Arabidopsis thaliana: one gene and its partners. The protein of the gene in region 2 interacts with the protein of the main gene of each other region in a pairwise test. Each region holds a gene or a part of one and is shown on either strand. Other genes may lie near its edges.

Evidence for each region.
Region 1: the proteins of AGL97 (region 2) and AGL76 interact in a two-hybrid assay, tested with the Arabidopsis thaliana proteins (one large-scale study listed by BioGRID).
Region 3: the proteins of AGL97 (region 2) and AGL53 interact in a two-hybrid assay, tested with the Arabidopsis thaliana proteins (one large-scale study listed by BioGRID).
Region 4: the proteins of AGL97 (region 2) and AGL52 interact in a two-hybrid assay, tested with the Arabidopsis thaliana proteins (one large-scale study listed by BioGRID).

What each region holds. Positions count from the first base shown.
Region 1 is NC_003076.8:16,050,078-16,053,576, reverse strand, and holds AGL76 (AGAMOUS-like 76), read right to left. Parts: upstream 1,699-3,499; coding exon 541-1,698; downstream 1-540.
Region 2 is NC_003070.9:17,231,593-17,234,687, forward strand, and holds AGL97 (AGAMOUS-like 97), read right to left. Parts: upstream 1,360-3,095; 5' UTR 1,344-1,359; coding exon 543-1,343; downstream 1-542. UniProt on the Arabidopsis thaliana protein: Putative transcription factor.
Region 3 is NC_003076.8:9,526,085-9,529,124, forward strand, and holds AGL53 (AGAMOUS-like 53), read left to right. Parts: upstream 1-1,656; coding exon 1,657-2,520; downstream 2,521-3,040. UniProt on the Arabidopsis thaliana protein: Probable transcription factor that may function in the maintenance of the proper function of the central cell in pollen tube attraction.
Region 4 is NC_003075.7:6,847,917-6,851,085, reverse strand, and holds AGL52 (AGAMOUS-like 52), read right to left. Parts: upstream 1,509-3,169; coding exon 519-1,508; downstream 1-518. Other genes in the region: TOPP7 (Calcineurin-like metallo-phosphoesterase superfamily protein), read right to left, coding at 2,054-2,071, 2,155-2,367, 2,544-3,103.

The DNA of each region.
Region 1 (3,499 bases), on a different chromosome or scaffold from region 2:
TTAAATTCGAGGATATTTTTTGTTTGAAGAATTTATTATTGTTCTCTTATTACACCATCATAATTTTCAGAGATGAGAGTGAACATTAGTGATGGAGATAGTATACAAGTTACACACTAGTCAAAAATGATTTACTTGCCCTACTTTGTGATACAATTCTAATTGGATGTTACTAATAGGCAAGCTTCTCTTACTTTACTACATGTTTCATCACCACAATTGTTTGATTGCTTTGCTTGTTTCTGCTACTTGCTACTGTATTGCTTGTTGTTTTGAGTTTCGTCGATGTGCCTCAATTTAACATGTTAGTTAAAGATTGCTCGAGTTTTTATATCATATATATGTAATAACTAAACCGAAAATACAAGTTGTAACTTTAAAACTCAGAACGAAATCTCTACAGATTAACAAGCGTACTCAAAAATAAAAATTAACAAGTGAATCAAGACTCAAGAAAACAGCTTCACTATCTCTGTTCCGCTACTTCACCATTGATCATAGCCATAGAGTTCATGCTGCATCAACTGATTCAACCAGGGGTTATTCACAGATTCTTGTTCTGTGTTTGAGACGCTGTTGAAAGCTGTTGTTAATGATGTTGCCCATAGACATGTTTTGATCACACCCATAAAGTTCATGCTGCATCAACCCAAAATTAGTCACAGATTCTTGAACCGCTTCTTTGTTTGAGACTTGAAAATTGTTGTTGGTAAAGCACATGTTCTGCTCATAACCACAAAGCTCCTGCTGCATTAACTCAGATTGTCGTTGGTTATTGACAGATCCTTCTACCGCCGAGTAATGTTGTGCCTTTGAGACGCAAGGATGTTGAAAGCTGTTGCTATTGATGTTACCCATACACATGTTTTGATCACAACCATATAACTCCTTCAGCATCAACTGATTCATCCCAAAGTAGTTCACAGATTCTTGTACCGCTTCTTTCTTTGAGAAGTAAGGAAGTTGAAAATTGTTGTTGGTGATGTCACCCATCCTCATGTTCTGATTCTGATCATAACCATCCTGCTTCATTAACTGATTCTTCAACTCAGATTGTTCAAGTAACGCTGAGAAATAATTCTGATTGAAATTTGATGCAGAGACTGAGATCTGAGACAGAGTATTGTCTCCATGGTTATACATAAACAGCGAAAACTGTCTAGGGTTCAAAGATTGGGTCTGATGATTCAAAGAGGATGGTGTTAAACTCTGATGATCCGGTTTTGTCTGTTTCTGCGACTCAAGAAATCGAAGCCTTTCTTGGAATTTAGAGACATGGAGTTTTAAGGACTGAGTCAGTTGAGAAACTTGGTCGGGAGGGTAATGATCAGCGAGTGGATACTTTAAAACATTCACGTTCTTCTTAAGACAAGTCTTCCTCTTATTGTTCGGATTCTTCAAACCCTTCTTCTTCTTCTTCTTCTTCTTGTTCAGGAACCCATGAAGATTAACGCTTTTCTTGCTTCTCAAGGCTTCGTTTAATTGACTATACCTCAGAGCAATGTCTCTCACTTTCTCTTTCTCCTTAGGCCATGTCTTAAGTTCTCCGTCTGGTCCGTAATAGATGACGCACGCTTCGATATCACAGAGAGTGCAAAGCTCTGAAGCTTTCTTGAATATAGTCTCAAGTCTGTTACTCAAACTTGTGGAAGCGAGTGAATAAGAAGAAGAGGAAAAAGGTAATGATCGCATAGTCATCTTCTTGTTGGTTTCGAAGACAAACTCTCTGTTTTTTTCACGTTCAAAGTTAAGAGAAAGCACGAAGGCGAAGAAGAATAAAATTGAGAGAGTGAAACTAATGTATTAGGTTTGGAGAGTAAAATCATATATTTATAGATGTAGAAGTAAAGATTTGGTTTTCATAACCACTCACGCTCATCGGTAAGAAAAGGAAATACGAGTATAGATTTGATTTCCGTATTTTATAGATTTAATAAAAAGAAATTTTCACTGGATGAAAAAAGAATTGCTCTCATGGTTTGTCAAAGTGAGATATGGTTTTTACCGTTTGTCTTTTCAGTTGTTTTCAGACTAAAATACCCTTAATGGGAGCAACCAAATCACACAGCACTTGATTTCGGTTTAGTTTTTCTGGTTTTGTTTTGAAACTTAATGGTTTACCCTTAATGGTTTTGTGATTTTGGTTTATCCTTAATGGTTCAGTTTTGAAAAAAACAAAAAAAAAACACTGAAACAAAGAAACAAAGAAGAAGAAAAAGAGAAAGAGACGGAGTAATTCGAGAGAGAAGTAGAAAGAAGTTCAAAATTCATTATCCACTCCTTCATATTTCGACATCTCTCCATTGAACTCCAAAATTGAGGAACAAATTTCTTGTTTTCAGAGATGAACAAAATGCAAAAAAAAAGCTCCTAGATACAAACACTTTAGCTTTTTAAACTAAAGATACTCTAAGTTTACAAGATTTATTTATAAATAGTAATCAAAACGTAAAAAAATGAGATTTTGAGAAAACTGATAAAGACGGCCGCAAAATTAGGTTTGCAGAAAAGGATACACAGGTTGAAGATGACTGGAAAATTACAATTATACCCTTCATCGAATTTTTTCTGTGTACGTACACGAAATTATTTATGGAACATATATGAGACGATTTCTAATAATTCAAACTATTTTATTACGTATTCTTATATCTCAATAATCTCAATACATACATAATAATTAAATAAAAATAGATGGTGAAATAATGTACGTACATTTTTGTTGGTAAATTAATGTATGTACATGTGTAATAATATACGTACATCTTTGTTTGTGAATGAAATTATTAAGAAAAATTTATTAATACAATATTAAACCAATATTGGCAGTGGCTGAGATAAGACATTGTTTGTTGTATGATTTTTCTGTTCTTAAAAACACTTCCCAATCTATAGTGTAGGTACATTGGTACAAACCATGTTGACACATACTTCTTCGAGTCACAACTGGTGTACGGTCACCCGAGTGAGAAATGTTATCTCCGCCAGGTACACGCTGACTTGTGTACGTACACTCTGCCAACAGACGACTGAATTCCCCTGGTGTGAGAATGACGTTCTCGTCAACATTCCCTATTCCATATTCTTCTACAATTACATCGTTCCACTTGTTGTAATCATAATCTTCGCCACTACTTTCACTACCATCAATAGTAGGATCGAGGGTACTTCCCCCTATAGATCCATCGTCACCCTGATAATCATCATACCCACCACCATCTTTGTTGTCCCCCTCCTCTTCATCCTCATTTGTTTTATCGTCTTCATCGTCGTCTTTCTCATCTACGGCCTCATTATTTTCATCAACATTTGAAACACTATCACATACACGGTCACTTTCAGCATCATCACCATGAGTCCTAGAGACATTATTATCGGGTGTCTTGACGGTTGTAATGAAAGAGACAAACAAATTGAGAGAAGGATACCGACCACGAATTAAAAAGAACGTATCCAACCCCACTTGACTGTCAATGTAGACAGGAGGGCGTTTAGTATC
Region 2 (3,095 bases):
ATCGATGATGGTCGATTTCAAGAATTTTTAGCTCGACACAGGAAAATCAAAGACCGTGAAGCTCATATTAAACTTCGAAATGCATTAATTGAACACTTGTGGTCCGTATATACTAATTCTGAGAATTAGTACAATGTAATTTTTTTTTGTTATTTTCAATTTATCGATTGTAATCTTATATTAATTAAGTTAAAATAATTTAGTTATGAAATATGTTATGTATATCAAACTATTAAAAAAATAAAGAAAATCTTAAGTTTAATAATATTATAATAAAAAGTAATATTTTTAGTGTGAAATTGGTGTTATGGTTGGAGATGATAAAACAATTGAAACACCAAAATATCAAATTTGGTGTTAAAATTTGGTGTATTGTGGTTGGGGATGCTCTTATGTTTTGGTTAGATATACGAAAATATCACGCAGATCAAATAAAGTCATAAGCTGATAAAAGACATACAAAGATATACTAAACCGAAGCAATACTTAAATCAAGGATCCAATTTCAACATAAACACAAATTGTCACCATAGAGGCATGCATCAGACATCATCCATCTTTAAATTCATGGATAAAGCTTCAGAGCTTGTCAAATACTCAATGATTTGATCGAGATCATCAAAATCTTCATTGCACTCATCCAAGTTTCCAAGTAAACCGTTGTTGTTGCTATTGTCAGAAACCGCTAGGGTTTGCTCTTCCGTGTTCCCTTCAGAATTCACAGTTACATCATCCATCTCCAAATTCACCGATAAAAATTCAGAGTTTGTCACCGTATCGAAGATTTGATCGAGATCATCAAAATCTTCATTGCACTCATCCAAGTTTCCAAGTAAACCGTTGTTGTTACTATTGTCAGAAACCGCTAGGGTTTGCTCTTCCGTGTTAAACCCATCGAAATTCACAGTTACATAATCTTGAATGCAAACCCTTGCAGAACACGGCTGATGAATTAGGGTTTGCGTTTGATGATCTCTTTGCTTCTCCAACTCCTTGAGATCTCGCAACATAGTCGACATTGAATCCATCGCCTCTCTCAACTCCTCCAGATTCTCTGATTTTAGAAGACTCTCATCTTCCCACCAAAACCTTTCATCACAAGGACGCTGATTGGCGAGAAAAGCAGCGACGACATTATCAACAGAGGAGTGGCCAAAACTGTAGAAAGCGGCGTTGGAATTAGAAGAAACAGGAGTCGCTATGATCGCAATCTCTGCGTCCGAGAGAAGACAAAGTTCAGAAGCTTTGCTATACAGACCCTTACGACGTTTGGAGAATGAAACCGCTCGTGGATTTTTGTTCTGTATCTTCTCTATAGCAATCTTCCTCTTCACGCCACCCATTCTGTTTTTTTTCTCAGTTTCACAAACAAAAGAGAACGAGACAAGACTTGAGAGTTTTGTGTGCTGCCGCTTGTTGCGAAAGAAGAATATGATAATGGACTCACTCTCGTTCTAATCAGATAGATATATATATAGACTTAGTAGCCCTAACTCGTTTTCTAATTAATCCATGTTATTTCCTTTTTCTGATAATTGCTAATCAGTAATTAAACGACTAAATAAACTTGTTTTCCTTTTTTGAAAGTAATTAGTACACAAAACCACCTGAAACAACATCGATTTTGATTTCCTTTTTTACTGATAATACCCTAATCGGTAATTAAACGAAAAATTAAAACTGTTTCCTTTTCTAAAAGTAAATTACTCAAAACCATCTAATACAAACAAAGACCGGTTTAGTTAAACCGAATCTGTATTTAGTGGAATTTTTGGTTTAGTCGGTGAATTTGTTTACTACTGATTGTCTAATAAGCGAAGGAGGACGAGTAAACCAACATGCAAATTCTTCCTTTAACCGGTTTGGTCAACGGTCAATAAAATAAGACCGTTATGAAGGGTAAAAGCGTCAATACAACAAAATATTTAGGAGCCTCTCTTCTTCTCTTTGTGACCGTTACGAATCCAAAAACCAAAATTGCAAACTTTGTGAGGAAGAAGAAGACGACACAGTATTGAAGAATACAATCTCAAACCCTAGTATGGAATCTCTGTTTTATGCTGGTGAATCAATGTCCGATACACAACAAAAACTCAAGCTTTTGGTTGATAATGGTGAATTGGTGATTACGGATTCGGAAGAGGATCTAGATATGGAGATTACGAGAATCTGTTGGAATTGAGTATCCTAAACTAAATCCTACAAGAATAACAAGCTTGGTGAGAAGAAGAAGATGAAGAACAAAGGAAGAAGCAACGGAAGAAGAAGACGATGGCGGAGAAGAGACGTCGTGAAGAGAGGAGTCAAAGGAAGAGAAGAAAGTCAACAAACCAAATGGGTTTGTGTTTTGTGTGTTGGGTCATAGGTAATGAGATAAGGCCCATACGAATAAGTGTTTTGTACAAGTTGTCTAGTTAAGGTCCAACAAGAAGAGGTTGTGACAACTAAAGTAAACTAAGAGAGTGAATTAAGGTGTTGGAGTTCCAACATAGTAGAGTGGATGATGTAAGTCTTAGGACAATGATGTGGTCTAGAGTCTAAGTGTGTGTAGTCTACCAAGTGGAGCAAAACCACTATATGTATGTGTTGTTTGTGTTGTGTAAGAGTATCCAAGAATATTATCAAAGTAGAAGATTAAAAGAAAATAGTTTTTGTTCTTTCTCTCTAAAGACAATGAAACCGTAAAGGAGTGTGAGAAATAGAGAGATTGTGAGAATTACAACAGAATCAAAGATTCGTATGGAAGATTCTGAAAGAAGAACAAGTGAGATTTGGAAGAAGAAATCAGGGTTTTGCTGGAGAAGAATCTTGTATCAATTAGAAACATATAAGTACTGATTCTTCTGTGATCAAAACATGGCTACAGGTTTGTTGAAGACTTCTTCTGTGACATCCTCAGCATTGAAGACTTGTTTAAGAAACTTGATTTTTGAGAAGTTAAAAGGTAGAGACTTCTTGAAGAAACAAGCTCACAGCCATAAATATTCTGGCAAAATCCACATTGTTCATCTTTGTTATTAAGCATTATGTTTTCTTCTCTGTGGCCTTTGTGGATCCTTCTAAGAGACTACATTATTGAGATTTCCAGAGCTACT
Region 3 (3,040 bases), on a different chromosome or scaffold from region 2:
ACAATTAATTTAATATTTTTTTATTTAACAAAATTTGATGCTTATACATTCTCTTTTATCATACATTTTAATTCTACACATTCAAGCTTATTGATGATATTTGAATTCTAAATAATAACCTACAAATTTCTATCTTACACATTCAATTTTGCAATACAATTTAAGTATCTATTTCATCATAATATACTCGATTTTCATTCTAAACACTTCATCTTAAGTGAATTTTTTTTTATTAAAAAAATATATTTATATCAGATCTAATATATATCTTTGTTGATATTAAAAAAATAATAAACAGTAAACAAAACTTAACAAAAAAAAAATCCACAAAAATATTTGAAAAGCAAAACTTTTTAAAATGTTTCTTTATATATGGCGTAATTTTCTCTTATGTAAACTTATTTTAAATGAGTTAAAATTAATTAAAAAATATACTAACTTCTTTTTAAGTAATTGAAAAGTAAATCATATAAGTTGTTCTCTCCAAAAATCTTGTGTTTTAACTTATGACTACATGCGTTAAATTTTTTACAATAAAACATAGTTATAAGCTTTTAGTGACATATCAAAGGATCCAAGTTGCTCAATCACCGAATACGTTAAAATTCTTAGAATAAATCTTAAATATTTAAAAATTTATTATAATAAGGTCACTAAATTTTAAAAATATTTTTGTGTTCAAAATTTAACAAATGAAAACACTATATTACAATGATAAACACAATTTTATCCAATTAAATTAATTTTAAATAAATTATATTGTTATTTTAAACTTAAGTGGTCTTTTTAATTAGTTATTATTCATACTTAATGATTTTTCTTTTAAATTAATACATGATTATTTATTTAATTGACCAATAATATATGTGTTTTCAAATTTGTTAATTTTCTTTTTTGTTAAGAAAAATAAAGTTTAAATATTGTTAGATATATATAAATTAATATATGTAAATTTTTCTTTTTAAGGTTTTTTATTTTTTTAAGAGAATTAAAAAGTTAAATCTTTAATGACACATGTAAACATCTCAATGTTAGATTTGACACGTGCCACAATCTTATGAGGTAGTAATTTTGAAAACTGTACTTTATATAATAAGAAATTAATATATGTAAATTTTTCTTTTTAAGGTTTTCTATTTTTTTAAGAAAATTAAAAAGTTAAATCTTTAATGACACATATAAACTTCTCATTATTAGACTTGACACGTGCCACAATCTTATGAGTTAGTAACTTTAAAAACTATACTTTATATAATAAGATACTGGATGTGGGAAATCGTATCTAAGATCGTATCTACAACGGTTACATTGATATTGGTAAAGGAAAATCGTATCTAATTAAGATTTATCTCATAGACAGCAAACAAAAAGGGAATTTCATTACTTAAATATCACAACGGTTAGATTAATAGAAGTAAATCATCATCATTTAACGAAGAAAAGATACTCTAAAGAAAAAGGAAATAAAACCCACAGCTCAATTTGTCTCTCTTGGTTTAGTAAAATCAATATCAAATATTATATGGAAATACAAGAATTTCACAATTCTATATAACCCTGAACCGTGTGTTAGTTACACTAAGTTTATTTTCTAGGTTTCTCTCTGATAAGAAACTAGGTATCTTCTTCTTCTTTTTCTGTGGGTAAACAACAACAATGGATTCTTCAATGTCGACGAAGAAGAAAACCAAATTGTCTGTGAGAAACCAAACTTGTTTCAAGAAATCGTCCCTGTCTTCTTCTTCTACTGCAAAAAAGACCACGAATTTGTCTATGAGAGAACAGACCATGTTCAAGAAAGCCTTGGAGCTTTCAACTCTGTGCAACATCGATGTCTGTGTCATATACTATGGTCGTGACGGAAAACTCATCAAGACATGGCCGGAGGATCAATCAAAAGTTCGAGACATGGCTGAGAGGTTTAGCAGATTACACGAGAGAGAGCGATGCAAGAAAAGAACCAACCTTTCTCTGTTTCTACGTAAGAAGATCCTCGACGACACTAAATTGTCGGAGAAAGTCTTAGAGATGGAGGATTCGTTAGAAAGTGGTCTACGAGTACTACAAGATAAGCTTCTGTTACTCCAACCCGAGAAAAACCAGACCGAGTTTGGTCAGACCCGTGCGGTTTCTTCCACAACGAATCCATTGTCTCCTCCTCCTTCGCTAATTGAGGATCATCGTCATCAACAATGGACAGAACCATTGATGAGTGGTGTGTCAAACACAGAGCAAGACCTATCGACGTCATCATTGAGTCAAAATCAGAGCAGAATTTCAGTCTTTCTCTATAACCATGACAACCGTAGCTTCTATCAAGTCCCTGACTCAGTTTCTAGCTTTGACCAATCGGCTTTACTTGGGGAACAAGGATCTGGTCTAGGAAGTAACTTTGATCTTCCTCCCATGGTTTTTCCTCCTCAGATGCAGACACAAACCCCACTTGTCCCCTTTGATCAGTTTGCGGCATGGAATCAAGCACCGTCGTTTGCAGATCCAATGATGTTCCCTTATAATTAGTTCTTGTTGTTCCAAAAACTGATCTTTGACTTGGTGTACGTTTTATAATGATCTATTATATATGTATTCTTCATTTAGATTATGAGTTTAACTGTCTCTTCTTGTGCCTGATTACGAGTTTGTATTGAATTGTATGTTTTCCCAAGTATGAATGCTATTTTCTCAAGTTTCTAAAAACAGTCTTGGCTTCTTCTATAATTGTCTGAGTCTTATATTTGAGTTTGAAAACCTGCTATGTTCAGATTTTTAATATACAATAGATATTGAAGGTTAGATGTCGATAATTTATGCAGAGAAGCCAACTTTGATGAGTCAGATGCTTTGGTGACAGCTTCCAACAAAAAATGTTGTTAAAAGTAGTGTTTTGTCCAAGAGGTGGAAAAACTCTGGCTTTGTTGGATATTTGATGCCAATGAATTTGCAGATTACAATGCCTAAGTGAGTTTTGTCTACGTATATACGCCAATAATGAAGCTATACAGTTGCTTATCTCGTTTTACCCGATTCTTGAAGATTTGAG
Region 4 (3,169 bases), on a different chromosome or scaffold from region 2:
AACACTCATCAATGCACCAGCATTGTCAAACTCGCCACAGTAATTGGGTGCAGAGAATTTGTCTTCACGAAATCAGAGCTACTTTCCATCTTCATGTATATATTAGCTGATTCAGACAAGAAGGATACTAAGTTACAAGTTTGTTATAAGATGCAAGAGTAAAGGATTTCACTTTGCAGGTTGTATCAACCAATTGAAACAGTCTTGTCACCATAAGTGATTTTAGATTATAATTTGTTTCATGCAAGTTTTTGTGAAAGACTTTTATGGAAGTTCATATATATATATATATATATATATATAATACTAACTGAAATACCAACTTAAAAGTAAAAACAAAATCTCCACAAATGGATCTGTTTTACAGTTATAACAACACTGTAAAATAAAAAAAGACAGTAGCAGGAAGAATTCAGAAGCAAAAACAGCTTCAATCTCTCTCTGATCAGCTTCCTACTTATAAGTATTGACTGACTCTTAATGAAGCTTCAAAAAACAAATCCTTTTGGACAGATTTGTTAGCAGAGAAGTCTTGAGTTGTCAGAAAAACAATAGCTGTTAGGAATGTTGTGGAGAGGTGGCAGAGAAGATGTCTGTAGCAAACTGCTCCCATCATAGCTCGAAAACATATCTTGAGAGAAGCTAGTGTTACCATAAGGGAATTCATGTGGAACAGTGTTTGAGAGATTAGGATGTTGTAAACCGTTGTTGTTATTGATGATTTCACTCATCATACACAAGTTCTGATCAAAACCATGAAGCTGATCCTGTTGCTGCATCAAGTGATTATTCAACCCGTAGTTATTCGCCGAAAGTAACGGTGAGTAGTCTTGTGTGTTTGACACGCCAGGATGTTGAAAGTTGTTGTTGTTGGTGATGTTGTCCAAACACATGTTCTGACCAAAACCATGCTGCATCTGGTAATTGATGAGTTGATTGGATTGTGAAGCAGACAGTGGGAGTTGTGAGAGAGTAGCATCTCCATGGTTGTACATATACAGCGAGAACTTGCTAGGATCCAAGTGTTGTGTCTGGTTCAGATACGATGGTGTTAAACTCTGATGCACCAAGTTTGTGTTCTGTTTTTTCTGCGACTCAACAATACGAAGCCTTTTTTGGAGAGTAGAAAGTGTTCGTTCTAAGGACTGAATCAATTGAGAGAGTTGTTGAGGAGAGTAATGATCAAAGTTTGGATACCAATTAGGGTTCTTCACATAATTCGTCTTCCCCTTATACTTGTCTTTGTCCTTCACCTTCTCTTTCTCGAGGAACTCATGAAGATTGAGGCACTTCTTGCGTTTTCTGTCCTCTTTATACCTCAAAGCCATATTTTTCACTGTCTCTCTATCCTTAGGCCATGTTCTCAGATCACCGTCTGGTCCGTAATAGATGACGCAAACGTCAATAGCACAGAGAATCGAAAGCTCTTCTGCTTTCTTAAAGATTGTTTTAAGTCTGTTTGTTAAACTTGTTGGATTACATGACGAAGAAGAAGAAGCTTGCTTCATCGTGATTTTGCCTTGATTCGCCAAGCAAGAAACTAGGGTTTTTTTTTTCTCCGACAGAGAGATAACACACAAAGAAGAAGCAGAATTGTGGAATTGATGGTGAAAGATTGTGAAACTTCACTCAATATGTTTATATAGATTGCCTTGGTGCCTACGGGAACAAGCATACGCGTCGGCGACGCGTGAAGAAGATAAAAGCAGTATCTATCCTCAAATCTAGGTTACCTCTTCTCTTATTATTTAGCTTATAGTATATATTACGTCAAATAAGATAATTGTTTTTCAAGTTTCATTTTATTATTTTTATAAATTTTACGTTTATGTTTTTAGAATATGTTTCTAAAAGGTTAGTTGTATAAAACCCAACTTTCTTCAGTTGAAAATGCTGTGAACATCTTCCACAATTTTTACAAAAAAAATCTAAACAAAACATAATGTTGCCTCAACCATAAGAAAACAGATAACAATCTAACAAAACAAACTGTTTGCCTTACAAAATTCGAACCCGTCGGTTTCACTCGTTTCTTGAACCCATCGACGACGAGTTAACGACCTTTTCCACCCTGCAAGAATGTTAACATATCAAACCTGATATCTAACATCTACCTACATTGCATCTATATACAGGGGGATAGTATTTTCACACCTTATGAGGTGGGGTTCCTGGTCTAGGAACATTGTTGTTGAATCCAAATCTTCCTTTCTTCTCAGATGCCTTAAGGATTTGGAATGAACATGTTAAGCTATCATCAACACTCATCAATGCACCAGCATTGTCAAACTCGCCACAGTAATTGGGTGCAGAGAATATTGTCACTAGTTGTCTCTTTGCAAAGAACTCGTATCCATCTTCTACAACCTGCAGGAACAGTATAGTTAAGTAAAACTTGGCTTGGTGAAAAAACTACAGATCCTTGCATTAACAACTGAGTTATGATTTCTTAACCCTCTGAATTCAGAGAACAGTCACAGAGAAGAACAAACCAATCCAGAGAAATCAAAAGAGAGAACTCAAGGAATAAATTTTAGCTTTACCTGATGAGCTCGGCATATAAGATCAAGGTCATGAGTTTGAAGGAACTCAGCTACTTTGTCAGCCCCAAATGTATAAGAGACACCTCTGTCATTCTCCCCCCAGCCTTGAATCTCTCTGTCAGGATCAGCCCACAACAAATCACAAAGAATGCCCTGATCAGGAACGTCAATAGGACGAGGAATTCTCCTGATGTCATCTAAGCTCTTAATATCAGGCGATAGTCCACCATGCATGCAGAGGATCTTATCATCAATGAGAGCAGAAACAGGCAGACAGTTGAAGCACTCGGTGAATGTTTTCCATAAGCGAACATTATATCTTCTTTTGCATTCATCGTAGAATCCATATACACGGTTGATTGAAGCACATTCGTGATTGCCTCTGAGAAGAAAGAAGTTGAACTTGTATTTGACCTTATAGGCAAGAAGAAGGCATATCGTCTCTATGCTCTGCTTACCACGATCAACATAATCCCCAAGAAACAAGTAGTTCGCAGCTGGTGGATAACCACCATACTCAAACAACCGCAAGAGGTCTGGAAACTGACCATGAACATCTCCTGCTCATCAACATATAAACTTAAAACCATCAACAAAATTACAAATCATACAGTTATGATAGCAAC